Linked DNA regions of Lonchura striata. The protein of the gene in region 1 interacts with the protein of each later gene in a biochemical or structural test. Links are inferred from orthologs where the notes say so. Each region holds a gene or a part of one and is shown in the gene's direction. Other genes may lie near its edges.

Region 1 (7,560 bases):
CTCAGGCTGCAAAAAGATGGGACTTAAGCTGTGAGTCAGACTAAAAAGATTCCCAAGAACATCCTCCAAGGACCTTAATTACCCAATGCTTTATCTTTGAGTCACATATTAATGATAAAATCCTTAAAATTTGGCACATATCTCAGTGATTTGTATTGGTCTGTAGATTTCACAGTACAGTTTTTATATATTTTCAAGCTATTTTCAGCTCTTAGGAAACTTTTTGCATTGTATGGCACGCCTTTTTAAAAATGGTACAAGTGATTTTCAATTAATTGACTTTCAGCATTCAATTTCAACTTCAATTCAATCTGAACTAAATCAGTAGCATTCCCAAAGTCAAAGTGAATGATCTGAACTGCCATCCAGTTGCTTGGTTTCTGCCATAACCCTGCGTAGTATCCTTACTCCGTGCAGCTGTGGTTCCATATTACATCTATGCAGGCTTGTGTTCTGAATCCCACAGTAGCAATGTTTTAACTTGCTAATTGTTGGTATCACAGGTGATCTTTGTTGTTATCTGTGGAAAAGGCTTGAAGTTCTTACAACTGCAAGAAACAGAATTCTGGTAGCTAAGGCGTTTGTTTTCAAGAAAAGCTTTGTTCAGTGAAACTACTTAGATCACAGCTGAGCTGCCTTGTTAGAATTCCTGCCTGGGAAGCACAGTAAAGAACTGTTGAGACCTTATTTCTGAGGTACCTGCTAAGATGCCCCAAAACAAGACAACATAAGGGGTATTTTTGTTTGTTTTGGGTTTTTTTTTTTGTCTGGGAGGACAGCTGGCCTAACTGATATCTTGGAAGAAGTCCTACGTACCTGAAACCAGCAGGTAGTTTAAACTTAAAAATGTCTTTTTAATACTTTCTTTGCCTGGAAGACTGACATGAGGAGTCTCTATTTAAAAAAGCACCTGCATGGCTTAATCAAGTTCAACTCATATATTCATCTGTACAAGTAGGTTCTAGCCATACACAGCAAGTGTTTATACTGCAAAATGCTGTAGATAGTCTCTCTAAAGTGGTTTTACATTAGATGTCACATCCTGTCTTCCACTGATTTCTGTTGCCCCTGTTCAGGCTATCTTAGCTTATAGCGCTGCAGCATTTCCCCCACCTCTTCCTGTCCATCCACTGATAGCTGCTGTCCCACTATGCATGGAAAACTGGTAACAGATGTTGCCATACATTTATTTTCAGTTTTGGGAAAGGTACAACTTAGGCCAGTCAACTGGAATGAAAAGCCGTCAAATTGAAATAATTTGACTGTTTGAAAAGTATGCTTACAAGGCTCCAAGCAGAAACCGGCAAGCAGTGTGCATCTGGTAGGCCTCTCAAAAATACTAGACCAATAAGTCAAAGACCTAGATGTGATGTTCTGACATTTTGATTCTACACTTTCAAATACATTAGGATAGAACACTATATTATACCTTAAATTTGTCTCTTTTTGCTGAAGCATCGTCAACAGGAACACTTAAAATCCCACATATTAACCTATTATTACTAACAGCCTAAGCAGTAATAATGTAAGCATTATCTTACCTATGTGGAATAAGACCTAAAAAAGAGCTGTCACTTATCAAATGTGAACAAAAAGGCATGTCAGCCCTTTCCCTGGAAAGCTTCAGCTTTCTTGAAACAACTGAAAGTTAGCATCTTTACCTACGCTATGAATTATTTCAAAAGCAGGAAGGCAATAGTTCAGTTAGTTAACTATCATGGTACTTCATTTATTAAATTGGGATTTATTAAATAATAATATTTAATAGTATTTAATGACAATGCCATTGATGTTGAAAACAGGAAATGCCCTTTTTGAAACAGGTGCAGAGTAGTGCCTACCTTTTTGCTTTTTCTCTTCTGTAGTCTTGATGATTTTCTTTCCAGACCAGTCTGGGTTTGTGTTTCCTGTGTCTCTGCTCTGATCTCTCTGTCCTACTTGTAGCACCACTTGAGGGGGTGGAGCGTGCTGATGGAGCTGGGCCATGGGGCGTGCTGTCCGCATCCCACCCCTTCCCGAGCATCTAGGGGATGGTCCAAGCAGGCGGCTGGCATCCGGATTGTTGGGGAGGGAGCCCTGTGCAGGACGGGAGGAAAGCTACTTGCTGGAATGCTGCTGGATTTTACAGCCAGTTTGTTTTGTTCTTTCTCTTTTCCAGTCAGAGAGCAGATTTAGTTCTCAAAACAATCTCTTCCCCATTGAATACCTTATTGTTCAATGACAAAATAGTATGTATCCCTTACAACGAACTGTCCTGTCCCATTATACTTCTAGGAGTATGAATGAATGCACAGCTGTATTATTTATAATATAATCAGAAGTCTGCTGTATGTAGACTTAGTCCTAATAACAAGAAACTCCTGTTTCACACACAAGTGTAGTGTGCTGTGTTCCTAATGAAAATGTTTGGCAGATGTGAGAACCACAGCCTTGCTCTGGGGTCTCATATGGTGGTGAAATTCCTCCTCCAACCCGTGCTTCCAAAGAAAAACTCCACAGGCTTTAGCTGTTCAGTCTCAAGGCAGTTTATTGCTAGTTATCTAACAGATTATGTTCTTGGACTGCGGCTATTTGATCAGCGGCCTGGGTAGAGGCACACACACACCCTGACATCCTCTCTATCTGCTGTCTTCTTCGTCTCTCTCCCCGCCCAGGGCTGCTGCTATCTTTTATATGATATATTACGTATTACATGTTTATAGTTTTCCCCCAATACCTACTACCTATATTACAAAGTGCTTTTCTACTGTAAACCAATCTGTGACTGCCAACATGACCAAGAACATGGAGGCAAGGAAAAAGAAGGAGGAAGAACAGGATCAGCCCACTTTCCTCCATCTTAGAACTTCTGACCCCCATGTACAAAGTGAAAACCCCCCTGTATATGTGCTAAAACCCCCCTTTACAATACTAAAAAAAAATTCCCCTCTACTTTGTAATTACTTTTACTATACTATCTAACCTTTTGTGACTGCTTGTTCCACCTCCAAAGCTGGCAACTCACCCCATGGCCCCAACTCAAAGTTACAGCTGTTTTTCAGCTGTCTGCCAGGGTCTAGAATGCCTCTGACTAAGGCTTGGAACCTCTAAAAATGTTTGAGAGACATTTTGAGTTCCCACAGGCAGAGAGGCCTTGACCCAATTGTGGAGCAAAGCATGCCCTGAACAGAGCCACAGGAGAAGAAACAGGGGAGTTTTCAAGTTAAATGAGCAAAACTTCTTAGAACTTTAGATACAAATAAGGAACAGCATGTTGAGGGCCAGAGTTAAATGTTCACTGATATTACTCACCCTAGAAAATGAAGATCTACTTACCAGAATGTGGTCATGAGTATTCAGTTATCAAAGCGTGGCAGACAAATGTGATTAACTTAGGGCACTGTTATGAAAACAGTCATTGCTGCAATTGTTACAGTGATGAATGTGTCGTACCTGCTTGGAACTGATACACTAGCAATCAAGCTCCTGACAGAATCTAGTATAAGATGTAAGAACCAGTATGTGGAGTGAGTGACTTCTATTTTAAGAAGCAGGTGCATAGAGACCTCGTTTGGAAAACACAGCACTGGTTATTTTGCATAATGGTAAAGATGAAACACCCGTACTCTATCTGTGTGGAGATCTATGTCAAGATTATAAAATTTATTTCTCCAAGAGTCACAGTGCTAGTGATAACATTACTGCCATAAATCTGATGTGTAGCTGCATTTGACTGTTTCTGGAAGGGACTTCCAGTTGTTGAGATTGAACACTGCTGAGAGAGCAGGGGCTAATTTATTTTATTTTTTAAGATACTAGCCATTTGATTTCTAGATTAAGGATGCTAACAAACTGATGGCCATGGGGGAAGATTTCAGAAATTACTTCCTGGCTTTTCAGAGCTTAAGGACAACTATAATTGTCTACAGACTGTGGTGCCATTGTAGGGCTTAACATATTTTAGGAAAGCCAGCAATAAAGTGTCTGCTCTCTCAAGCACCACCTACTGGATTTTCTCTACGTTGATCCTTGGGATAATTTCAGCAGGACTATTTAATGGCAGTGACGAAGTGTGACAGCATGACATCCCACAGTAGGCCCATGTCACCTCGGCGGGACCCTCTCTGGCCGGTGGCTTTGGCAGGTCCAGCGCAGGCGACTGGAGTTGTGGCAGATCTTGGAGAGCAGTTTCCACCCCCGTACTGTTGTGCATCTTTGCAGTGGTATTAAAGCAACTCACGCCAGCCAGCCCAGAAGGAAGAAATAGCCAAACCCGATGTAAAGCCAGAATAGCGCTTTGGCTCGGGCGGTGCGGTGGGAAAAGCAAATGGTGCGTTCCGGATTGGCAGATCTTGGAGATGCTGCGGGCAGAAGACGGCAACTCTTTAATTTTACTTACACAGTCCACGAGCTGTTCTCGCCTCTCATCCCGAGCCCCTGACTCCACGCGGTATCGCGGCCACGGCGATCGCGACTCCGCCGTTCCTCGCCGGGGCGGCCCCGAGCGGGCCGAGCGCCGGCCCGGCGCGGCCCCTGGAAGGGCGGGCGCTGGCGCCGGAGCCGGAAGCGCAGGTCCCGCGGAGCGGAGCCGGGCCCGCCATGAGCCGCCCGCCCGCGCTGCAGGCGCTGACCTGCGGGCCCTGGGAGATGCGGGAGCGCCTCGGCACCGGCGGTTTCGGCAACGTCATCCGCTGGCACAACAAGGTAGGCGGTAGCCGGGCCCGCGGCGCCCCGGCTCCGGACCCGGTCTCAGCCCACCCTTACTATGTCCACAGGAAACCGGCGAGCAGGTGGCCATCAAGCAGTGCCGGCAGGAGCTGAGCCCGCGCAACCGCGACCGCTGGGCGCTGGAAATACAGATCATGAAGAGGTGAGGCGGGGCGGCGGTGTTCTCGGGCCGAGGCCGGTGCCCGCGTGGGCCGGGCCGGGCGGAGGGGTCGCTGCGCGGTGTCGCGTCGGTGCCCCGGGACGCGTGGCGGAGGCGGCCCTGGAGCGCGGATCTGACGGGTGCGCTGAGGGAAATGGTGGGAGAGGCTTTCGGCCGCTGGCCGCCAAGGGATCCCCTTCCGGGAGGTGCCCGGTCCGCTCGGCGGCAGGTGGGTGGAAGTTCACGCGTAAGAAAACTTCATACGGTGCTGCGTGAGACTCTTGGGTTTCACACTGCCGTCTTCGGCTCGTCTGCTGTGCCCTCAGCGCTACAACAACGCTGCTACCTAGCCGCTGCTTTGCTTGCCTTAACGTCTGTCCCTTGGGGTGTTGGATTAGCATTTTCGGGTGTAGTGGTCTGATTGCAGTTTGGGTCTTTTCTGGACGGTGGCAACAGACTGCCTTGCACTCCTTGCAAGAGTTGTTGCTGTACCTTCTAGACAGATCTGTAATGCATGTGTGTTGAAGAAACACACTGTCTTGCACGTGAAATGCTAGGAGTTTGAATGAGGCTAGATCCGTGAAATATGCAAACCTTCAGAATTCACTCATTTAATTTCTAAAAGGATTTGTGATCACTTTAGGTGATGACCAGGAGCATGTGAAATTGTATAGCAGTTGCAGAACATCATGCCTACTTGCCTAATTTTTGTTCCGCAGACTGAACCATCCCAATGTGGTGGCTGCCCGCGATGTCCCTGAAGGGATGCAGAAGCTCGCACCAAATGACTTGCCACTGTTGGCCATGGAGTACTGCCAAGGGGGAGACCTCCGCAAGGTGAGGTCCCTGGGGTGGTAACCAAGGAATGGGTCAGCTTCTAATCTTATCCTGGGTTTTCTGTTCTCTTAGAACCTTTGCTTTCACATCCTGAGGCTTCCTAATTCTATCATGGCATCACCAGTTGTTGGTGGATTGGTCCTTGATACTATGTTCAGCTTTTGAAGACTTAAGTGCTTTGTGAAACTCTTTTGGTTTTTTGGATGCAAGTGACACTGTGAGGAGTTTGCACATAAATAATGAGGGCAAGTGTAAGGGATGTGCAACAGAATATGAGTATGGCCAAGACCATTGTAGGGTAGGTGCATCTGTAGGCTGTACCCTTCCTTAAAGTGATTAACTCTTGTCTGTTGTAGGAAGAAATAACACATGATAGTTCTAATCCTAAGGCTTTTCTGACCTTTGCTGTAATCTGCCCATAGCTAAAACACAGACTTTAGGCCTCATATTGGAGTTGATATTGGCAGGCACAGGGGAAATGGCAAAGAGGGATGGAACAAACAGAAGGATTAGAATGGGATGACAGTGACTTTTCACCTACTCCTTTATTCTCCCATGCAATTAAGCTAAGGCTGATTTAATTATGAAGCTGTAATTGCTGCTGTCACAGGTCACACCCCATAGAATTTTGTGCTTCTGGAGAATTTAATTGCTGTTGCTGAAATTTCTTGTATCCCTGAGAATTTGCGGGACTGTGGGCTTCACTCAGGATAGAGGAAGGAAAGACTGCATTTTGTGTTGCTTACTTGCAGTACCTGAACCAGCTGGAGAATTGCTGTGGCTTGCGGGAAGAAGCTATTCTTATCTTGTTATCTGACATTGGTAAGTGGTAGCCTTCAGTTGTCTGAGCTATAGAAACCTTTTTAGTCCTGAATCAACTCTCCAAATATACAGCAGTGACCTTAGTGACTCAGTTTTAGACTGACCTTTTATGATCTTGATCATCTACCAAAAGTGTTGGGAGTCTGGGGAGGTCCTTGCCTACTGGAAGCTAGCCAGTGTTACTACAGTTTAAAGGAAGAATGTGGGGGAACATTCAGAGAGAGAACTCAGTTTGTGTCCAGAGTTCTATGATGCTAACTTTACACCTTACACTTAGTGTTTCATGGTATGTTTCATTGTACAAGGTTTGATGTGAAAGCCATAAATAGAACCGAGTCCTTACTGATCTTGTCTAGGTACTGTTACTTATGCTCTTAAAATTTCCTTTATGTGTGTCTCAGCTTCTGCTCTCAGATACCTTCATGAGAACAGGATCATCCACAGAGACTTGAAACCAGAGAACATTGTGCTGCAGCAAGGAGAACAAAGGGTAAGCAGGAAGCAGTTGTCTCTGCCTGCACAGACAAGTAAGCTTATAAGGAGCATGCATGTGCTTCATGCAGTTACATGGTCCCTCTGCAAGAGCACTCAGCCCAGGATAACACCTGTCTCAGGCCACTATGTCAGATGAATAGTATTCTGTGTGCAGCTAAGACATTGTATTAGACATCTGTTAACACCTGACATTTCGACTTTCAGCTATTAAGGAGAGAGCCACACTGTACTGATTGACCTAAGATTGGAAGGAACTAGACACATAACTGCTAAGTGTGCTATGACACCTTCAAATTCATTGTGGCTTAAGGAATCTACAGTAGCCTCCCATTTCTACTTCTGCCTCTTCACTAGCACCTTTCCTGTATAGCTTTGAAGAGCTGAACATTTTCTTTCTGCTGTATGATGTGCTTTTAACAGGATTTCGGTCTAGCACTCTTATTCTCTGTTGTGTGTTTCAGTTAATACACAAAATCATTGACCTTGGTTATGCTAAGGAGTTGGATCAGGGTAGCCTATGCACATCCTTTGTTGGGACTCTGCAGTACTTGGTAAGAAAG
Region 2 (7,655 bases), on another chromosome or scaffold:
AATTTCAAATTACTTGACTTATGTTTACCCTTAAGGCATAACAACAAAAGCAGTTTAAATTGATACAGTACATCTCATCCCTAAGGATCCCCAGAAATGCAACCAATTGATAAACATCCCACAGTTCATGCAGAGAAATACAGACCTTCCCAGAGATGCAATGCATCAGTTTAAGCCTTGCTAAAAATAAGCTGAAGTCAAAAAATAAAAGCAGACTAGAAGACTAGACTAAAAGCCAACCAGAACTCTAGATCCATTAGACTCTGGTCAGGACACTCCAGCTAATTATATTTTTATGTCCGTGGCACATGGGTAGGACTTTAAATGTCCTAATTTGGACCTTGGCTTTATGTGCCAAAAATTACCCTGCAGACTATTTACTTGGATATCATACCAGCTTAAATAAGGTGCAGAAATGCTTCCTACTGCATCCACCATTCTGCTCTTTGGAGTCTATGAGCAACCCAAAATAGCCTCTGATGAAAAGATTTGAGAAGGTAGGAATACAGGCCACATGGCACATGTGACTACCTTTTGCCTTCATCCTGGCTGACAAAAATTGACTTTGCATAACTTTCCTTTCTCTCTTTTGGCTGTTTTTTTTTAAGCTTTCAAATTAGTTACTTATTATTAGAAAGCAGGAGGGAAATATGTTTTCCTTGTTTACCATTGGACTAATTGTTCGGAGCTGCCTGGTTCTTATCTCTGTAGCAGCTGTAAATGGGCAACTGAGATATGTGGATTTTAACTGCAAAATATTATCAAAATTACAATGTCAAATGTCCCCTGGCTTCCCTTGGACCAGCAAAGTCCATAGACTTTTGAAGCAACAAACCAGAGTCCTATTCCAAGGGGTATCTGCACGTGCACATGCAAGTACAGACAGCAGGTCTACTTCACTGATTTGTTTTGCTTTTGGCTTTAACATCCTGGGCCAAGATCTTGCTGGATGTTGTTAACTGATAAATTTCCTGATACATTTCATGGGAGCCACATACGGTCTTTGCGATTAAATGAGAGGAATCAGTTAACGGGTATCTGCAGCAGCAGTCACAAAAGGATGAAGTTGTGGGACCAACTCTGGTAAATCAACAGCACTAGATGGTTGTCATGATTAGTGTGGCAATCAGGAAATTACAATTTAATGTGTTTGCTGGAGGAAGCAGCAAGAATTCTTCACGTAGTTTTAAAACAGATTAAAACCCTACAGCCCCTTCTCAGTATCCAGACACTTGAGGCTGCTTCTCAGAGCCCTGCCAGTTGCTTTCTGCAAGGTAGAATAAAAACAAACATCACATCTCTACAGCACCACAGCCTTGCCAATTGAGTGCTCAGGGCGCCTAAAGTGGAGGTGGCTTTTGTAAAACGTAGCTCTTAGGTATGAGCTGCAAAACCACCTCCCGTGGTTACAGTTTTTACATTGTTAAAGTAACTTTTAGGTAGTCCTTTGGCATTGAAGTACCTGCTGGACCAGGCAGCAGAGACTGCTAACATAATCCCAAATTAGAAATGCAGAGAATATTAATCTCCTCTCAAAATGACAAGCACAGAAAACACTTCTCTGAAATTAATGCAGACATAGCAGAGGTATTAAACCAGAATACACAAGCAGACAAAGAAGGTTCAGGTTGACACAGATGACTGCAGTGGTTATGAAGTTTTGCTCCTTTTTCATCAGGGTTCATGAAGTTTTGCTACCATTTCAGCAGGGCCAGCCCCTGTCCCTGGATAGGTACAGCTGCTCCATCTCCTGGGGGCCTGTCTGAGCTCCCCAGAAAGGCAACACTTGGGTGAGAGGCAACACAGGAAACTAGGTTTGTGATAGGCTCCACCCTATATCCAAAAAGCTGAGCTTATTTCTTTCTATTCTTTTTCTCTTGTGGACCATACAGAAAATTGCATAGAAGAACTGCTTGAACGTGATAATTTAAATAAATAAATAAATAAATGAAAATAAAAAGGAGAGTACTTCAACAGCACAAAGCAGGACCGATGACCTTCACCACTCCAACACCTTTGCTTTATGCTATCCTCTATTATGTCATCCCTTCAGGCAAGTATTGTACGACTGTGCTGACTGCGAGGAGTTACAGGGAAGACAACAGCCTTATTTGCTTAATTGATAATGAGGTCTCCACTGGCCTCTGCATCTGCAGCTAGCTGCTGCTTTGCATATGGGTTTAGGGCAAAATCCCTTCTCCAGCCTGCTTTTCGTTGCCTAATACCCAGGTTACTGGCCCATGTGTTGGCCCCCCCATGACATCTAGGGCCAGGCTGCAGAGCATCAGCATCTCCCTGAGGCAGGAAGTGGGCTGGCCTCAGCGTGACTTTCCATCCAGAAAACATTTTCCATCAGCTTTCTGCCACCTACAACTGGCTGCAGTACTGCCAAGTTAAAACACACACAAAATAAAAGCATCTCGTGTGCCTCTGAAAAGAGGCTGCTTGCAAATGCTTGCTAAAAATAGCCCTGTGGTGGCCTGTGAGGGCAGCTGGAGGTCTCTTATAGAAGGAGGCAAAGAATTCCCTTTGCTGATGTTAGTTTACAGCCATCACAGCTAGGACAGGAGTTTTCAAGTTTAATGTCTGTGTAGTTCTAGCAAAATCCCAATTGCACAGAGCAAGGTCCTTGCTGAGCTCAATTCCCCTGCTAGTCAGAACAGTCAGCTTGCTTTTCAACTCCCTTCTTCCTTTTCTGAAGAGGTGCGGATAGGACGAGATTCATTTGTTAATTAAATTTCCCCTGCCAATTTACATTAGAAAGGGGGAACTGTTTCAAAAAGCTCGCGAAACTTTCATAACCTTTAACTTTAAAAAGAAAGAATTTTACAGCTTTTTTCTAAACCTGCCCAAAAGCACCACTGGATTGTCCCAGGCCAAGTGATGAATACTGAAAAGAAGTCCAGGAATGGCACAGCTGGGCTGAAAATTAGAAACACTTGCTCACAGAAAGACAGGCATTCTTCCTCTCCTCTGGCTCTTTCGTTTTCTTTGGATTTTCCCCTAAGTTCTAAGTTCAAAGGGATGCCATCCCATGGGAAAATGACAAAAGGAAAAAAAGTACAGACTCTGTTACTCAGTGAGGCCAGCAATAGTTGCAAGAGAAGAAAAATTCTTCCTGGGAATCCCCTACATCTGAGAAGCAGAAGCAAAAATTCACCAGGAAAAAAATCACTGCCATCAGCTCTGCAGACAGACAATGCCTTTTATCCATGTGGGATCCTGCATTTATCCAGTTTTTATTACCCACGGATGGCATAACAGCAGTAAAAAAAAAAAAAAAAAAAAAAAAAAGGCAAAAAGCAGAGCAGAGTCACTAGGAATAGCCAGAGAAAGTAAGAAGAGTGGCTGAAAATGTAATTTCTTCTTTAAAAGGTTTGTTTTGTTATGGAGTGAAAACTTCCACAGCAGAGATGCAAAATCCTCTAAATGCTGAGGCAACACCTGCACACTTGCAGGCATGGCAGCGTAACACCCATCATGTGCAATACTGCCTGAATCCCTCCAAGAAGCGACACTCCTCACCAAGCAGGGCAGATGCAGTGCACTGATGCAGTAGCAGCCTCAGCATTGCTCTGCTGGTGCTTGATTCGCTGACATTTTACCATGACTTTGCTGCCCTGGGTTTGCTAAAAAGCTTGCTCCTCATCGTTAGGTAAGTGCTGGTTAATGAACTCCGAAGGTGGTCCCTCTCATCAGACTTCAAAACGATCCTCACAAGGCTCAGGGATGTCATTGTGCAGACTGTGCAAGAACGAGGTGCCGTGCTGCACCGCACCTTGTGGGTGATGGAGCTTCTAGGAGTGTCAATGCTTACGGCGAGACTCCCGGCAGGACCACACCGCAGCCCTGCAGTGCTTGAGGGCAGCCTATAAAAACAGATAGGGACAGCCTTTGTAGCCGGGCCTGCTGCCACAGGACAAAGGGCAAGGGATTAAAACAGAAGGAAGGTCAATTTAGGTTAGATATAAGGAAGAAGATTTTCTACAATGAGGGTGGTGAACCCTCTGGGCAGCCTCTTACTGCTAGAGATTGCCCAGAAAGGTGGTGGATGCCCATCCCTGGAAAAATTAAAGGTCAGGTTGGATGGGGTTCTTATGCAGTTGGAAGATGTTCCTGCTCATGGCAGAGGTGTTGGTCTGGATGGGCCTTTATTTTCTCCTAAACTGTTTTTCGAAGGAATGGCATGCCATGGGAAAATGACAAAATGGAAAAGAAAGCAGAAACCCTCAGTCAGAAATAGTTGCCAGACAAGGGAAAAACCCTTGTTTTCTGAACCCTTCCAACCCAAATTACTCTGATTCCGTGATCCCGCAGTCCCTCTTAGGAAAGTTGCGGAATGTCAGGGGGGACGCGGGGTGCACTGAGGCGCCCCTCGGCCTCCAAGGGGCCCCGCAGCGCGCCCGGACCCCGAGGAGCGGCGGGACCGGCCGGGGAGGAGGCGTCGGAGCGCCGGGACCGGGCAGGGTAGGGCAGGGAAATCCCCGCGGGGCGCGGCAGGGAAGTACCGCCGGGGACGCCGGAGCGGCGAGAACTTCCCCCCTGGAAAAACGCCAAGTTCCCTCTCGGCCCGGCCTCTTCCCTCCCCTCCGACGCCCCTTCTGGGCGGCCCGAGCCGCTCCGCCCGCCCTGCCAGCGCCGGCGGCGCCGAGCAGGACCGGACCCGTCGGTCGGGCTTTGAGTGGCTGGAAATTCCCGTCCTCCGCGGCTCCTCCCCCGCAGAAATCCCCCGGGCCGCGCGGTATATGCGAGCCGCCGCCGCCGCCGCCGCTCACTCGCAGCGCCCGCGCTCCGCCGCCATGATCGCCGCTCGCCGCGCCGCCGAGCCGCCCGCCATGGACGGCTACGAGCAGCCCAAGAAGGAGCGCCAGGGCGCCTTCCCGCTCGACGACCGCCACGACAGCGGCCTGGACTCCATGAAGGAGGAGGAGTACCGGCAGCTGGTGAAGGAGCTGGAGGACATACGGCTGCAGCCCCGCGAGCCGCCCGCCTGGGCGCAGCAGCTGACGGAGGACGGGGACACGTAAGTGCGGCCGAAGCCGGGGCAGGGGCGGCTCGGACGCGGCGGGGAGCCCGCCCGGCCGGCGCGGGACAGGATGTGCTGGCCGGCGGGGCGGCGCCGCGCCGGCAGCGAAGGGAGGGGGTGCGGAAAGTCCCTGGAGCGGCGCCAGCGAGAGGCGGCTCCGCGGCCGCGGAAAGCCCCGGCCGCGCCGAAAGCCCCGGCTTGCGACACCCGCGCCGGAGCCGGGCCGGGCCGCCGGGCGCGGGGCTTAGCCTGCCGTCGGGGGGATAACGCGTGTCGCTTAATGAGTGCTTTTTTCCCCCTGCAGTTTTCTCCACTTGGCCATTATTCACGAGGAAAAAGCCCTGAGCCTGGAGGTGATCCAGCAGGCAGCCGGTGACCGGGCTTTCCTGAACTTCCAGAACAACCTCAGCCAGGTACTTTCACCTCCATAACCCCAAATCTGGATCAGCCCCTGCCACACCCACACACTCCTTCTGGGGAATTCCCCCAAAAAAGTCCCTTTAATTTTTTTTTTTTTTTTTTTAATTGATGGAATCAATTGAATCAAAGCCTACGTTCAGGAAAGTCCCCAGCTGGCTCCAGCCAGTATTGGTACAATGCTTCCTCTCCCCTGGGAGAGTGGCATTTAACGCCCACATTTTTCAAATATGATGCCATGGGTTGCATCCCTCTTTATGGAGATGTTAATGATACCCTTCATACCAGCTGGCGGTTGGTTTATCCAGAGAGCCCAAAGTTCATCACTTCCAGATGAATGGGCAACTATACAGCAACTTGGGAAGCATAAAGAACTGAGTTCTGGGTGTGCTTTCATGCTTTTATTTGTTGGCACAAATCACAAAGTGAACAAGAGGTCTGCTTGTCCAGACGTTGGTGCCAAGTTTGTGGTGTAACTTACAATCTGCTTTTGCTCTTATGCTTGCAGACTCCTCTTCACCTGGCAGTGATAACTGATCAGTCTGAAATTGCCGAGCATCTTCTGAAGGCCGGATGCGACCTGGAAATCAGGGACTTCCGAGGAAACACCCCCCTGCACATCGCCTGCCAGCAGGGCTCCCTCAGGAGCGTCAGCGTGCTCACGCAGTACTGCCAGGCACACCACCTCCTCGCTGTCCTGCAGGCAGCCAACTACAATGGTACGGCCACACTCCTGAACACTTCGTCTTGGTGTGCTGCACTGCGGGTAGGGTCGGTCTCCTGTGATCTCAAAGATCTCTGGAGAGGTGGAGAAGGATTATTATGTCCCATTTGAGAGTTGAGGAGCCCAAAGCAGTGTCTGACTTTTTTGAAGTGAACTTTCTTATAGGCCTTCTCACTGTTGATTATAGTCTCTCATGGCTTTCAACTTTGCATCTTTAGTGACTGCCTTTGCTGTGCACCTTCTTTTTTGTTAGTAACAAGTTGCACTCAAACACTGTAATAAAGCCTCCAAGAAATCTTTTCAAAATCCAACCCTCTTATTTATACTGGAAGCTAGAAAGCTCTTCTGGAAAACACCGTTTTGACATTGCAAATTTAGATTTCATCCTGGCCTATCATCTTGCCTTTTAAGTAATGATGAGGCATTGAGTTAGACTTACTCAAGTTTTCCCTTTGTTTGTGTCTTCCAGGACATACGTGTCTTCATTTAGCATCTATCCAAGGATACCTGGCTATTGTCGAGTATCTGCTGTCCTTGGGAGCAGATGTAAATGCACAGGTATGTAATGTGTACCATGAATTTAACTCAGTGGGGCTCTTAATCAGTAGATTGGAATCAGCAGTAGTCTTACAAAACAGCAGATCTGACAATGGCTCTGCTCTCCTAACATGCTGAACCTTACACTGTTTTCACACAGGAGCCATGCAATGGCAGAACAGCACTACACTTGGCGGTCGATCTGCAGAATTCAGAACTCGTGTCGCTTTTGGTGAAACATGGGGCAGACGTGAACAAAGTGACCTATCAGGGCTATTCCCCCTATCAACTCACATGGGGCAGAGACAACTCAAGCATACAGGAACAGCTGAAGCAGCTGACCACAGCTGACCTGCAGATGTTGCCAGAAAGTGAGGATGAGGAGAGCAGTGAATCGGAGCCTGAATTCACAGAGGATGAAGTAAGTAGCTGTTTTCATTTTTACAAGAGAAAGGGGAAAATTCTGTTCTGTGCAGGGTATTTTTTGGTGCCACTCTGATAGCTTGCCCCAGTGACCTCTTGCTGTGTAACAGATAGCTATACCAAAGATTACGCAATCAGCAAAATGGCAGATGAGGCAAGCATGTAAATGGAGTAAGAATAAAATGTAAAAAATAGCACGAGGGAATGGAGGTTAATTTCATGCAACGGTTCTCTGAACACAGTTCTGTTGCTGACACAGAACCTCATGAGAGAAAATTCAAGTTAGTGGGTGGTTTTCTCCTCCCTATAATTTGTTTTTCTGACATTCTGAGTGCTGCATTAAATGGCGTATGTAACCATTTTGGTGTAGAAATTTTATACACTGCTGAAGAATTTGTATGTAGAATTTGGCTGTTATCCCAGAATGGATATGATACTTCAAGTAAGATTTTTGCATTAACAACAGCATTTTGGGTTTTTTTTTTTCTTGCAGCTTATATATGATGACTGCCTTATTGGAGGACGACA
Region 3 (7,120 bases), on another chromosome or scaffold:
AGAAACAAGGCAGTGAGGTCAATGGACCTTTGATTTGGCTTACTACTGCTGTACATATTCAGTTTAGCCACATGTCTAGTCTGAGTCTGCATCAAAATCTACTGAAATCACTTTGCTCTCCAAAACAGAAATAATATTGGTCTTCCTCTTATTTCTTGCTGGCGCCTTGTTGGAATTGTCTGTACTGTGCACTGAAGAGGGTCAGTAACGCTGGACTGTGCTGCTGTCTCTAATGCAACTATACATAGCTATGTCTGCAGTTTTTAGGGGCCCTGAGAGTTGCTGCAGTATCTACAGATATCAGAGGAATAAAAAACAAGTTACAAAGATCATAATCGCTTAAACTTTTTTATGCACTTCACAGACAACATTGCTGAAACTTATTTACAGACCAGGAGGTAAGTATACGGTGTGGTTAATGCCATACTTAATCCCCTTACAGGTAAAAAAACCTGTTCTTAAAAATGTCTAGTGCTTGCCTCCATAGCTCATTTTTCACAGTGCTTCACCAGCCTTAATGGGGGAATACCACGCTTACAGCTTAACCTTCAGGTTAACAAAAGGGGCTAAGGCAAGATTTGAACTTTCAGCTTCTTTGAACCCACTGCAGTTCCAGACCTTTACTTCTGACACTTCTCTCACAAATATTAAAAAGAAGGGGAAAATAAGCACACACACAACAAAAAGGGAAAAAAAAAAAAAAAAAGCAAAGGAAGCTTTGGCCCCCTGGGCCATAAATAAGAATCCCTAGTTCCAGTACAGTCACTTGCCAGAATACCCTGGTAAACCTCTTCTCTGGAATCTGTAGTTTCTTTTACTGGATTCAGATGAGTGTAATGGAAAAAATCCCAAAACCAGTTCAGCTCTTGCTATCTAAGTGGCAGACATGATTTGGGGTTTTTTGGTTCTGTTTGTTTGTTTTTTTTACCGTCAATACTTGATTCAGTAATAAGCACCATCTTTCTGTCTGATAAATGTTTAGGGGATATTCCCCCCTCTCTTTCCTTTGCACTGACAAGCTCTTATCACTTTTCCACCAGGAAAAGAAGCAACGGAACAGCTCCTGGAAGACAGAAGTGCTGAACTCAAGCATGACCTCAAGCACTGCTCTTGCATTAAAAGGGATTTCCCTTTAATGATCCTTTTCCTCCCTTCTAGATGAATCACACCTCATACAGAATTATCTGATATTAAAAGACACAGCAAATGATTGAATTATTAAAAGTCTGTATGTCACTATGCATAAATATTACTATAGTCATCATCCTAGCATTGAATATTATATGAGTACTATCTTAACTATGAGTCTTTCTTAGTGCAGCCTCTCAAACATTTGGCAATGGTGTTCTGAACACTCTGAGGTCTTGGTTTAATTTAGTGAGTGGGAACTACTCCTTCCTGAACAGTAAAAAGAAGCAAAGTAATTAAAATAATTTAGAGATATAGAGCTGAATGGGGCCTTGAGAGATTTCTTTTTTTTCCCAAGTACAATAAAGAATTGTTATTGATTTATGTGCATGAAACTGATTACTTAAATTTTCACAAAAAATGGATATTCTGCAATTCCCAGTGACAGCTTTCTCCAGGGTTATGTAAACATTACCACTTACAAGGGTGGACTGTTTCACCCTTATGCTTAACCAGAATGTAGATAGCTGAAAATGAAAGTATTTCTTATTCTGTCCTTAATACCAAGAACTTCCCTCTTCCCTCAAGAGAAACAGACATGCATATATACCTAAAAATATATGTGCATATGTACATAGTTATGTGTATGTATATGTGCGTATTTACATACGCACTTTAAAGAAGAAAATTTTCCTTGACTTTATACATCTGTCTCTATGTTTATATCTAATGAAAGATAAACATTTTACTATAAATTATGAGATAAACTATAGGGTACAGCTACAAAAAAAACAAAACCCAGGAGTCATTCAGAAAAGAGGAATGTATATTCATGCATTCTATAACTACTGATGTTGCTGATGTTTCTAATGTATTCCTATATTGCTGAGGAGTTATGGTTGACAAGACAGAACTTTATTTTGTGCTGTGCAAACTCAGATCAAATGAATTCCTGCCATCCTGCTCAGACCTGTTTGATAAACATCTGCTCTAGCAATGTGCAATCAACTTTGAGTTTATCAAGGTGTAAACAGTAATTATTAATATTCAGACACGCTTACCATTTAGAAACCAAAAATAAGCTGTTGCCTTTTCAGGTTTTCCTGAGTCTCAGCATCTCCATCATGGCTAGGTCTACTTGTTAATTTATTTGCTGCAGCTTCCTATACAAAGCAGGGTACAACTCAGCTCTTTTTTCCCTACTCCCTACCTTAGCTCATCATTCCTACTCAACAGTGAAGCCCTCCATCATTTGAAGTACTCTCTGTAAAACTCTGTCGGGGGCTGGGCTTCATATTATGTGAGAGAAATGTTTTGATAGAAACATTTTTTTTTTCCTCTAATCAGATGACTTCAGTAATCTGCTACCTCAGTCCCAATGAGAGAGCAGGGGAAAATGTCCAGGAGAAGGGAACCGGTAAGATGCTGACAGAAATATATACTGTATAAATCACAGCAGGGATGCTGCCCTAGTTATGCAAGCCCAGTTCCCTCAGGCATCCAGTTCCCTGGATTTTAGCCACCCTTCAGGTTATCAATCATTAAATGTGGAGCCTTCCTACCCAACTATACTTTCCAAGACAATAGAGAGGCTAGGGGAACAAAAAGAAAAAATAACACACCCACAAAAACCTTTAAAAGAAAATTATCCGAGGAGAGGAGGAAAAGAAACCTGGAAGGGATTATTCTTTTCCTGGCCATATCCCTGACTTCTTTTTGAACAAAGGCAGAGGAGAAGGATGGGCTGCTGTGCAGAGCCAGCACAGGCCTGTAAACCCTGGGAAAGATCATGTTGCCACATAAGCCTGTTGTGTGACATGAGCAAATGATCTGAGCCAGCTGCTGCTACTGGGAGTGAGGTGAAGGAGTTCAAAGCTGAACTCTTCCAAAATCCACCTGTTCTCTGAGGAGTCTATATTTAACACCTGATTTCAAGGTGTGCAGCAACCCTGGCTTCTCATCTTGCCACTGGGAGAGGTGGATACTCAGGAACAGGCAAGAGCTCATTATCTGGGAAGATGAAGTGTTTTAATCCTGCAAGAAACTGTATTTCATTTCTGTGTGCCTTCAGATTGTAAGGCTGTTGAGCTAGAAACTGCCCCTTTTCCAGCATACATCCCATCCATAAATCATATTAACAGGCCTTAAATATGGGGGGTTTGTTTAGTGAGGTTTTTTCACTGCTAATATTTCACAATATTAGCACATTGTTTAAAGGTGTGCATTGTTTACAATAATTAATTTTAATGATTCCTATAAATTACTAGTTGCAGTCAAGAAATTACAATCATATTCAGACACTTAAGATCTCCCCAACTTGATAGTTTTAGCCCACGGTTCTGGTCTTTACCTGCAACAATCTGACCTTGAGCAGGGCCAAATTAAAACACAATTAACATCTCCTGCCGAAAATACCAGCAGATTGGGACTATGGGGTTCTATATCGGCCTAACCTCTAATTGAAGAAATGAAGTCACTTGTGGTTACGTACAATACAGAGCCAAAACGGTGGAGCACATACAAGCTAAAAAAAAAAAAAAAACACCCACAAAAAAAAAATTGCTTGGGTCTGAAAACCGTCTGGAAGAACAATACTTTCCATGGGACGGGCCCCCTTAACGTGCTGCTGGAATGCTGGGGCAGGGATGCGGGCAGCTACACCCGAGCACCCGCACCCCACAGCTCCGTCCGTGCTGGGGCAGGCGCTGCCACGCGTGCCCGTGAGCGGAAGGGCTGCGGGGCACCGCCGGGGCGCCGCTCTGCGCGGCGACAAGGAGCTGTTCGGACCCAGCGACGCGACACCGGGCCGGCCCGTGAGCGGAGCGAAGCCTGCGGGACGGGATGGGCAAGCCCCTGCCCGGGAGGAAAGGAAAAAGGAAGGAAGACACGGCATCCCGGCTCCCGAAAATCCCGGGGGTGAGTCACGGCGGGCGGGGAGGCGCCGGGACTGCCCGGCGGCGGCGCCCCCTGGCGGCGGCGGCCGCGGGTGTTGTCACAGGCCGGAAAGTCCCTGTGCTCTGCCGGTGGAAATCCCCGGTGGGGGTTTTTTGTGTTGTGTTTTCAATCTGCTTGCCTTTTTTTTTTTTTTTTTTTCACCCAGGCGCTTAAACAGAAAGGGAAAAAAACAAGAGGCTGGGCTCAGCCCTTCATTCCGCAGCGGCGGCAGCGGCAGCAGCAGCTCCGGCGGGAAGAGGGTGGAGAGAAGGGCAAGAAGGAGCTCCGGCGCGGTGGGGATTGATGGATTCCGGGCGCGGCTGCGTCCCACCGCCTCAGCCTCGCTGCTGAGAGGAGTCGCGGCAGGATCGGCCGGAGGAGGAGCCGTCCGCGGAGAGGTGAGCGCCGCTCTGGGCAGGGCACGGCGGAGCCCGGAGCGCTTCTGCAGGAGGGCGCCTCGGGGACCAGGCGGGTCCGGCGCGGGCGGGGACGCTGTGCCCGCCGTGCCCGGCCCGGCGCGCAGAGCGGGCACGGCGCGGCCGAGCGTGCTGCGGTGCCGCGGGGAAATCCGCCCCGGAGCTCCGGGCTCCTTCTCCTGGGAGCTGCACCGTGTCGTGGCCGTGCCGCCTTGCACGCCCAGCCCCCAGCGGAGTTGTAGGTCAGGGAACCAAGAACGCGGAACACTTACTGCGTGTAAACCAGTGCTGTGGGATCTTTAAAAGAGCCTCGCTCCTCGCCTTCCGATTTGGCAAAGAGTAGTACTGTGTTTTGGTTTGTGCCGAGCAAAGGCACAGGCACTTGTAGCACTTTATGGAGAAGTTTATTACTTGCCGTTTTTCAGATAGAGGACAGAAAATGAAAATAATTTATGAAACCATCGGCAGATCTCAGAACAGTATTCCTCTTTCCAGAGCCCAGCATCCTCAGCATTACACCTTTGGAAAGGATGCTGTCTCTAATTATTGTTTACAGCTGTTCCTTTCTGGGAATTCCTAGTCATTACTTGTGAGAAGGTTAAAGTAGCATAGCACACAGCAAAGCACAGTAGACTATAAACTAATAAAACTGTAGGTTAGTTTTTTACTTTTAAATCTCCAGCTTAGATGTCAGTTGAATTCTGTTTGTTTCATCACATTGATTTTGAAAATAAGTGTTGCTTGGCTTTTGCCTTTGTTCACATTTATTACTGTAAATAGCACAGGCAGTAATTTCCACGTGTGGAGGGGAAAAAATGCTAGTAGAACATAGTATCGAATAATGTAGTTTCAGTGACTGCTTCTGTAAACTCAGTGTTTTTTGTTACTTAATGCTGGAAATAACCATTTCAAGAGGTGATGCCGGTAGTGCTTAGTCATGTGATTAGTCTTTATTAGTGTAAAAAAAATCCCATTGACTCAATATTTCTACTAACATAAGTAAGGAATTCAATATTTTAGTCGTCTCAGAGCAAAGTAGAGCTGGGTTATTACACAGTTTAGTAAGGAGTTGTTTATATTTCCTTTTTAGACACATTCATACATTTAAATACAGGATTACATAAATAGCATGTGTAAAACTATATTTATGAGGAAAGTGGATGAGAAAATACACAATTTTCATTTTAAGGCTGTGTGCTGATGGGGGAATGATAAGAATATGCCATCTTTATTCCCTAAAGAAAAGCTTTTCCATATGTTGCAAGATGTGACAGCTCTGCACACGGTCCCTAGTGTTCGTAGGGCATGTGAATGACATCACCCTAAAGTTGGGCTTTGTAGCATCACCTGTTTCATCTGCCTCTAGAGCTTGTCGTGTTATCCTGTATCTCTCCAGCAGCTGGTTCTCAGAGAGGTTATAGAGCTCAGCTCTTGGCACCTGGAGTTTGAGGTCCCCTCTCACCCTGAGAGGGTCTTTTCAAAAGCTTTGGCTGGGCATTTGGAGGTGGATGTTGCCAATGGAGGTGTCTGGGTGAAGAGGAGAGAGCAGTTGTTTACCTGTGGGGAAGGAGGTCCTGAAGCCCTTCTGTGCAAGAGGGGTCTTCTGCCTCCATAGACGTGGGAATGCCTTCCTGGTCAGTCTTGTCAGGCTTCTTCCTCTCTCCGTGACTCCAGTCTCCATGAGAAAACGTCCTAATAGTGGCATAAACAATTTTTGGTTGTTTCTTGTATCCCTGTACTTGATGTCCAGAGATTGATACACATATATATGACTTGATACTTGTCCTTAGATTCATAATCACAGTGGCGGATTCTCTTAATATGACTAGTTGTACTCTAAATATTTTAAGCATGCATACTTTTATTTGTCTTGACACAAACTTTGCTTTGCTTTTAAACAAAGCAAGAATGTTTGTGGACAGCATGGAGAGTCTCTCCCTGTAAAAACAGGTTATTGTTGTTATTTTTGTTCTTACTGTAGTGGACAGGGGTTTTGAGGGATGTGGTCTGTACGTTTGGCTCTAACTAGCCACAAAGTTAGTGTCCTCAAGTAAGGATTTCTTTGAGTGTAGCAAGTTTGAGATGTTATGGGTTTCTTTTTTTGTTTTTCCTGCTATACCCCATGAGGCCAGAGTTACTGAAGAAAGGGATGCAGAGCAGCAAACATTACATGTCCTACTGTGGAAATATATAGGGGGTTTTGAGCCAAATGGAAATGCTCTGTTGACTTACCACTGAGTAATAGTGGCACTGCACCCCCACACACCAGCATAAGCACTTCTGAGCCATAGCTCTACCACTTACAAAATAAAAAGAGCCTCAAGAAAAGTAACCTAAGCCTGTCCTCGAGTGACAAATTCCTCATCTACCATATCTGGCCACTGTAAGTATGAGACTGATACTAGCACAGCCTGCAATTATTTGTGCTTTTTCTGTACTCTACTGACCATCACTACTCAGAATGTATGAGCTGTAGAATCTGAAATGGTCTTTAACTGCTTTTTTTTTTTTTTGGCATGTTATCAAAACAAGAGCTTGAAATGTCCTGAAATTTAGCAAGTGCATATGGGATTACAGTGTACAATTATCAATTAGTTAAGTTTCCAGGATAATTTTCCCTTCCTTCAATCTTGTCTTCTCTT
Region 4 (7,942 bases), on another chromosome or scaffold:
GATAATCAACCTTTGATTAAAAAGATGTGACAGTTCATTCTATTTACTTCCATGCTCTTTAATATTCTCTCCATTACATTTTATTTTAAAGCCTACTGAGAGCAGAGTAATAGACACTTAGATGTCTGGATCTGTTTTTGCATCTTTCTAAAATACCTTTGCTAATTTATAGCTACCTACATTGACACCTCTGTTTAACACATCTTCCATCAGCAATTTCATGTACCATATCTTTCAGACTTCTCAGCTCAAGATCAACCAGTCTACAGTCATCTATCTCTTTCTTCTCCATGTGAAATTTGTTACTACCTTTCTCCCAAGCCAAGTCCAGCTGATGATAGCTGTGCCAGAGAAAATGTGTTTGTTTGGTTACAAGACTGAATCTATACAGTCTCTCACCTTTACTTTGCCCTTACTGCACAGTGGCTGCATTATTTGACTTTCCTGGCTCTCTTTTTGGTTTAGACTACTAGAAAAATCTTGGAGATCTAACACATCTCAGACTAAGAGGCAAAATAAGGTTCAGAAACAAATGTGATCATTTGAGTTTCTGTAATACTCATACAATAGAACTTTTCCTTTTACTAAAGTGAATACAATTCCTTGCATACAACTGAGTTTCCTATTTAGCAAAGCAGCTCACGCATTTATTTTGCAAAGCTTTTTTCAGGGTATTTTTAATATATGCATTTTATCACAAATAATAAGGAACACCCCCACTGAAGGAATTAATAGCTGTTTAGGAGATTTTACATAGTGTGGGGAAGTCTTCCCAGAATGCAAAAGAAGCAATAAAAATACATGAAGCATGCTGGGCATGCTATCTCAATGTATTTGGCAGAAGACACCTTTGTGATGTTTCCCAAGACTTTGCAAACGATTAATGCGGGACATAATTGAAGAACTCATTGAGATTCAAAGTAGAATCACACACAATATTGCAACCTGCTCTTGGGAAATATTAATGTACAAACCAAAGGAGTTGCATGAGAAGAGTGGATTACGCAACAACTTGGCCATGCAGAGAAACAGAAATCTCTCAATATAGTCACAGTGTTCTGTCTTCATGAGGTATTTCCACTGCACCTGCATTGGAACAAGCAGTGGGCTCCTCTTGGATGCCTCCTAGCTGGGATATGAATTTGTGGGGCACGTGTTTCATAGTGTTCTCCATACTACTATGGAGACATGCTCTTTAATCACAAAGGGTTCCCACAAATTGAAATAACGTAACTTCATATTTACAAGACAATATTTAACAGGGACAAAATAGAGTTAGACTTGGCAGAAACATTCCTGTGCTTAATCTAGAAGGGAACATTTTTTGATGTGGACATTACAGTTGCAGATACCATCCAGTATGTTCCACTGTTTTCTAGTTTCAATCTTCAATCACCTAAAGTGAAACATTTTAACCACTTTAAAAAAATGCATATACTAAAAATACAACAAAAGTTGAAGTCTTTTGAAAGAAGAAATCACTTAGCTTTTTTCTAAATTAGTGGAAAATAATGCTTCTTCACCCCTCTTTAAAAATTGTCAGAGTAACTTTAAGGGAGGTAGACAAAGGGTAGCCAGGATAATGTATCTGTGCTTTTGTCTGTATTCATGAAAATGTGTCCAAATTCTAAGTTGTACAATTCCATATTATATTGGATAAATTTTCATTAGGATCTGCAGATATTAGGGCTAAACTTCAGGTGTGTTAAGCTGTCCAGGTGGACTTTGTTTATATTTTGCATCAGACCTACTGCTGTCTCTTCTGAAAAAACAGAGCCCTATACTCTAGGACAGGTGTGACAAAGAGCTCCACAGCAGCTGTCTCAGCTTTGAGTGTGCACACTCTGGCTATGGTACCCAGATGTTTCCAACAATCTTCAAGTGATCACCCACCAGGCAGTGTAACTACTTTGCAATGTTAGAGAGAGGCTACTGAGACCCAGAATGTGGATTTCCCAGGTTCCAGGTTTTTCTCCAAAACACAAGAGCAGTTTTTGTCCAAAATAAACACAACAGATATAGCTTTTCTTTTCCTTTTTCTCCTGTATTTGTTGAATAAATATTTTGGAGATGCACAACCAATACTCAGTCCACAAAATAGCTAATTGTAACTAATTAAGATTATGTCAGTCGGGAAAGAAGGAAAAAAAAAAGTAATATCAAAATTACCACAGCCTTAAAACCCCTCCTGATCTTCACAGCAGTGACATTTTGATAATGATGATGATTCTGCCTTCACAAAGAAAGAGCTCATTATTTTTGATACATATTTCCACATCAATTTCTGAAAGGAAATGAACCTTACAAGCAACTATAATTGGAATGCTCTCTTCTGCTGTCTTAATACCCATCAACAAAGTATAACAAAGGTAACAGAAAAGTCTCTCCACTGAAAAACAGAAGACTGCAACTGCCATTTGCTTGATACATACCCTCAGGAGAGGTCTGTGAAACATAACAAAAAAACCAAATATTCAGTTACATTTACCAGAGATCACCAACTGCCAACGTCTAAAGCACAACCACCCTCTTGGCCATCTTTCTAAAAGGTACTGATGTAGTTCATCTTTCCCAATGCATATGTACCCAAAAAATAAATAAAACGTTAAGCTTTTGGCCTGAAAGCATGTTCATGACTACAACTAAGTATCAAGATTATGGATTTCAAGTATCCAGTGATGGATTTTCACACCTTGTTTTCTTTTCATTCATGCATTTTCCTTGGTTTCAGTTGACTTCAGGTGTTCCTTGTCTTGATCTACAAGTGTTTAAAGAACTAAAGCAATTCATTCAGCAGTATGAAGCCAGTATGAACCAGACTGAAAAGTCTGGTTTTTATTGAACTTGCAATTTTCTCAATCCCTCAGAAATCCATTTTCTTCATCTTCCAATAATCAATATATTGCATACTCCAGCAGCTGAGACAGCAGCAGCTGCTTACTCAAGTGATACACTTTCCTGTAAGTTGTGAAGTCCGGGTATAAACATGGCTCTTTATGACTGTGTCACAGCATGACCAAGACATGCACTAATAGTGGCTTTTGAAAAAATGAAAATTAAACACTTCACTGGGTATAAGGTGGTGCCAGGGTCTGTGTGAACATCCAAACCTATAAACAACCTGGAAAAGCAGGGGTTCTGAATAACCCCACTGCTGGATGAAGCAGGTCTAATATCTGCTTCGGATTTTAATATCTGCTGATATCTACTTCCAGATTTTGTGGTACTTGGACTAACAGAAGATTCTTTAGATCTTTCTACACCAAACCATATCTGAAAATCAAAAATGAACAGCAGAAACTCAGCACAGTCAGCATATGAGTCTGCTCGCCACGTATACGCAGATTGCTTGGGCAATGTAATTGCATCAACCCAACCAGTCCTGCATACGAGTTTCATCTTGCATGCCACAGAGTCAACATGTACTGTGACTGCTTGGCTGGGATTTCTGGACTGGTGTACATCTGAAAACCCTGTGCAAATTACAAAAGCTGACAGAAAAACACAAGAGGGGAGCAAACAACCCATAATGGCAACCTGCCACAAAGTGCAGCAGCTCTGATAGAGGTACTTTCACTTTGGCTTTTTAACAACAGCTGAGCCACCATAAGATTAGGTCACTTCCCATATTCATCCTTGATTTTTTTTTTTTTTTTTTACTAGTTAACTGTTTAAGTGACTTTCTCAGGCTAGCTCTGTAAACCAGATCTCTCTACATTTTTGAGACTTCCTTGTGAGGTACAGACATTCACTAGCATGCTAGCAGTGGAAGATCTAGGAAAGCTTACTAGATGTACTAAAATTACATACTATTAATAGTATTGTACAATAACATAACTTTTTATATATAGCCTGAAGGCTAAACATATAAAAATGAAGCACAGCTGTTTCAGGGGAACACAGCAGCTCTATTCACTCATCTCAGCACTGATTTCACACCATGGACTGCCCTGAAGCGTCAGTCTCAGACATTTCCCACCGAAACACTAATGGGGTGGGTGCTCCAGCCAAAAACAGGAGCAGGATACAGCCCTGGCAAAGAGCGGACAGGACTCCCTTGGAGAGGGAGCGGTTAAGGTGTACGTTCATCCCCCATCCCTTTAGTACTACTATCTGTTTACATCAACCGCTCCATTACCCCCACTCCTCAGCTGCCCTCCTACACACAGGTTTCCCCTGAGAAAGCACCGCTGAAGAGCACAAGGCCTGCCCTCGTCCCAAGACGCCGTACAGCACCTGCTGCCCTGGAGAAATACAGGCACACACCCAGGAAAAAGGCATGTGCGTATGTATGTAGGGAACAGGCCCCCGCGCTCGCAGGGCGGTACACGCAGCCCGGGACGGGGCCGCGCCTGGCAGCTGCCCGGACCCCGCCGGGCCCATCCCCGGCGGCAGGAACAGGAAGCGGGGCCGGCCCGGGGCCGCGGCTGCTCCCCCTGGCGGCGGCGGCGGGGCGCGGCGGGGGCGGTGCCGCCGCCAGGCCGTGGCCCCGCCGCGGCCGCCCGAGAGGCCGCTGCTGCCGGCGCTTCCCGCCCGCCCCCGCCTGGCGCTCCCTCCCTCCCTCCCTTCCCCGCTCTTTCACTCCGTCCCTCCCTCCTCGGCCGGGGCAGCAGGAAGCGGCTCTGATGTCAGCGGCGGCGGCCGCGGCGCGGCTCTGAGCGGCTCCCCCACCCCCGCCGCGGCCCCTCTCCCGCTGCCGCCGCCGGGGCTGGCGGAGGAGCGCGGCTGCGGCCCCGGGGGCGCCGCCTTCTCTCGCCCGCGGACGCGCGGCCGCGGCGGTCCCGAGCTGCTCGGAGGCCGCGGCCTAGGGCAGTCGGCGCGGCGCCCCGCGGGGGTGCGGGAGGGCTCGGGATGCGCAGCGGCGGCGCCGGGGCCTGTGCCCGCCGCCAGTGAGGCCCGAGGCCGCCGCGGATGCGGCCCCGGCGGCGCCTCGGCCAGGCCCGCCCCGACCTGCGCCGGGAACCGCCGCCGAGCCCCGCGTAGCCCCGGCTCCGGCCCTCGGCTGCCTGGTGCCGGACCCTCGCGTAGCCCCGGCCCCCTCTCCTCCCTGCGGTGAAAGAGGAGGCATGTCTGCTGCCGCCTCCGCTGAAATGATTGAAACCCCCCCGGTCCTCAACTTCGAAGAAATCGACTACAAAGAGATCGAGGTGGAAGAGGTGAGTGAGGGTCCCGCCGTGCCCCTCGCTCCCCGGGCGCGGCCAGCCTGGCCCCGCCACGCAGACCCCGAGCGCCCCCGGGGTTCCCCTCCCTGGCGCCGGCCCTCGGCTGCGGGAGGGTCCGCGGGGGCTTCGCGGGTGCTCCGGGGTGCCAGACCCCCCCAGTACCTGACCGGGGGTTCTCTGCTCCTGTGGATGCTACTGCGGCTGGCACCAGCGAACAAAGCGGTCTGGCTGGCTGAGAGCGGAGGTGCCAGCTTACTTCTGCCGGACCTGCTGCTGGATGCCTTACTGTGGAGTTTTGTTTAAACGGGATAGATTTATTCAGTCAGGACTTTAAAGTTTCGCCTCCCATTTTGCCACCCACTTTAGTATGGGTGGCAAGCATAGTTGTCAAGAGGGAACTGTTAACTCTAATGTTTCTTTTAGATCTCTATTTCTCTATGGCCCTGCTTTCACCTTCTGCCACCAAACTGAGCCATTGTGTATATAACGATCATGCTGCTCTTAATGATTTGCTAAATTTACAGCTCTGTGAGCTGTTACGATAAACAGGGTTTTTTTTTCTTAACATGGGCTAGTTATGTTGCACTCATGGATATTTAAGGAAGTCACATTCAGTAATTTTATAACAAAGTTGGAAGTTTTTCTTCTGTGAAATTCACATAGTGAAATTATTTCAGGTGTACCTTTCATCTGTCGGGTTCATGTGAAAGTAGGGGGGGTGTGATCTAGGGTAGCTCATATGCTTTGATAACAGGCTCAGTAGTCTCTATATACTACAGTGTTGTTTGACTCTCAGAAGTACACAAAAATATTTCTGCTGTTTTTTCCTGTCACCTACTGAATTCTCTACAGGAATAAAGTCTCTTCATGTAGATCTATAACAAATTTGATGAGTCCAGCTTGTAGAGTCTGGACTGCTGAAACAGTCCCTGTGCTTTTTTTATAGATTAACATTTTTCTCTTTAAGAGATAATTACCCTGTTTTCCTTAAAAAGTTTGTGTGGAAGTGGAGTTTTGTGTAGTAGCTTTTCTAGGTATGATAACCTGTGTCTCAGGTTTTTAGAGTAGTTTGCTAGATACTGGTTTGTTTATAATTATCCTACTAGGCTTGGGTCTCCTGAGGATAATTCAGGGACCTTAAAATCTGCCATGGGGCACCAGGGCACCTTCTGCTGTATTCAGGCAGTGTTGTGATAACTTCGGCTTTCACCATAGCAGGCACTGGGTGCTGGGAATTTTCAGAAGACAGTATATTTCAAAATACTGCCTTTATCTTTTTCTGTGAATTTGGCAACCATAAAGACTTTTGTTTTTGTAAGTCAAGTTGTTCTACCTGCCTTTATGCATTTAACTATTCTGAAGTGAAGTAATTTTGTTGTTTTTGTAACACTTAGTAATAGCTGGGGATCAAATAGCCTATTTTGGGAGAAATAGCATTTCTCACCCAATGAAGAAAGTTTAAGCTGGTTATCCATTGTAAAAAGGTGCCCAGTGATGGCTCACGGAAGTGAGTGCCACATCTGCTGTGTTAGATGTAGCCCTTTGAATTAATAAAGTGCTATACAAATCTTTAATCCTCACAACACACTTGGGGAGGTTGTTAGCAAGGATTGTATTGCTGTTTTACATGTAGGAAACGTGGAGCTGCATAGTGTGTAATTGGTGTAACTAGAGTTTAGTATTCTAAGGTTTAGTGCTCAGAGATTGACTGTCCCACACATGTGCCTGGTACTGGCAGAAACAGGATTGTCAGTACAAAAATGTATCTAGAGACAATGCCTAAGTAAAAATTTGTTTAATACAGTTGTTTTGTTATTCTCAACACAGTATCTTCGTAGAGATGCAAAACTCATGTGATATAAGCAAGAGAATAGAACTTTGATAGTGTCTCCATAAAAAAATCTTGTTAAAGCTGGCATATCGTTTTGAGTTAACCTGTCCTCCCAGAAGTTCTTATAGACAATGGGAATACCCTAGTGTTAAACACAGTCAAATGTCTTTGCACAGAGGAAGAAATAAGACCTACTTTACAAGAAAACAGATGGATTGGAAATCATACTTAGGTCTTGCTTTTCTGAGCTATGGGTGTTGACCTCTTACTCAGGATGCAGTTTCAGCACAAATAGTCAACTTTGTAGTCACATCAAAACACACATCCTTGCTGAGGATTTTCTGTGCTCTCACTTTAGGCTCAGAGGTTTTCAAGGATTTTAAGTGGCTGTATGTCTCAAAAACGTCTCAAAATTGTCATATTTATGCTTGGCAAACTTCAAATGTTTCAAAATGGAGTGTTAAGAGATCTACATTGGAAACTCAACTGCTTTTATAATCATAGCTTTGCTGTTGTATTATCAAGGCTGTCTTGTCAGCAGATAGCAGTCCCACTCTGACACTGGTTTATTAATAGATGTTGAAGTTCTGGAATACTTGCAGGCCCAGAGACCTTGCTAATAAACGTGAAATCTATAAGTACACTTTTCATTTAGTTTTGTCTGAACTCTACTGAGATAAAACCAAGAATTAACATATTTTCCTTTAGCTACTGTGCACATGACCAGCTGTAGTGTTACTTCCCACCAGTCAAACATATCTCCACCATCATAATGCCTTTTTGTTATTTCAAGTGCTTAAAATGAAGTAAACCATAGAGACAATTGTTATGAAGGAGTTGGAGTAAAATCAAAATCGATGTGACACGGCAGGAGCATCTTCAAAACTAAAACAGGGGAAACAACACAAAATTTAGTTCAACAGAAGTGCTCTCTATTTTACTATGCATG

The links.
Region 2: of the proteins of IKBKB (region 1) and NFKBIA, one has a biochemical effect on the other in vitro, tested with the Homo sapiens proteins (58 studies listed by BioGRID and IntAct, with this or other methods). The link is inferred for Lonchura striata from reciprocal best matches to the Homo sapiens genes IKBKB and NFKBIA.
Region 3: of the proteins of IKBKB (region 1) and TNFAIP3, one has a biochemical effect on the other in vitro, tested with the Homo sapiens proteins (2 studies listed by BioGRID and IntAct). The link is inferred for Lonchura striata from reciprocal best matches to the Homo sapiens genes IKBKB and TNFAIP3.
Region 4: of the proteins of IKBKB (region 1) and MAP3K7, one has a biochemical effect on the other in vitro, tested with the Homo sapiens proteins (5 studies listed by BioGRID). The link is inferred for Lonchura striata from reciprocal best matches to the Homo sapiens genes IKBKB and MAP3K7.

The regions. Positions count from the first base shown.
Region 1 is NC_134634.1:4,929,609-4,937,168, forward strand, and holds the start of IKBKB (inhibitor of nuclear factor kappa-B kinase subunit beta), read left to right. Parts: upstream 1-4,550; 5' UTR 4,551-4,578; coding exon 4,579-4,683; intron 4,684-4,754; coding exon 4,755-4,849; intron 4,850-5,565; coding exon 5,566-5,683; intron 5,684-6,435; coding exon 6,436-6,505; intron 6,506-6,906; coding exon 6,907-6,995; intron 6,996-7,461; coding exon 7,462-7,551; intron 7,552-7,560.
Region 2 is NC_134608.1:25,273,776-25,281,430, forward strand, and holds the start of NFKBIA (NF-kappa-B inhibitor alpha), read left to right. Parts: upstream 1-4,649; 5' UTR 4,650-4,745; coding exon 4,746-5,023; intron 5,024-5,330; coding exon 5,331-5,439; intron 5,440-5,951; coding exon 5,952-6,162; intron 6,163-6,636; coding exon 6,637-6,725; intron 6,726-6,864; coding exon 6,865-7,125; intron 7,126-7,620; coding exon 7,621-7,655. UniProt on the Homo sapiens protein: Inhibits the activity of dimeric NF-kappa-B/REL complexes by trapping REL (RELA/p65 and NFKB1/p50) dimers in the cytoplasm by masking their nuclear localization signals.
Region 3 is NC_134605.1:51,072,764-51,079,883, forward strand, and holds the start of TNFAIP3 (tumor necrosis factor alpha-induced protein 3), read left to right. Parts: upstream 1-4,105; 5' UTR 4,106-4,460; intron 4,461-7,120. UniProt on the Homo sapiens protein: Ubiquitin-editing enzyme that contains both ubiquitin ligase and deubiquitinase activities.
Region 4 is NC_134605.1:77,513,623-77,521,564, forward strand, and holds the start of MAP3K7 (mitogen-activated protein kinase kinase kinase 7), read left to right. Parts: upstream 1-4,935; 5' UTR 4,936-5,066; coding exon 5,067-5,156; intron 5,157-7,942. UniProt on the Homo sapiens protein: Serine/threonine kinase which acts as an essential component of the MAP kinase signal transduction pathway. Plays an important role in the cascades of cellular responses evoked by changes in the environment.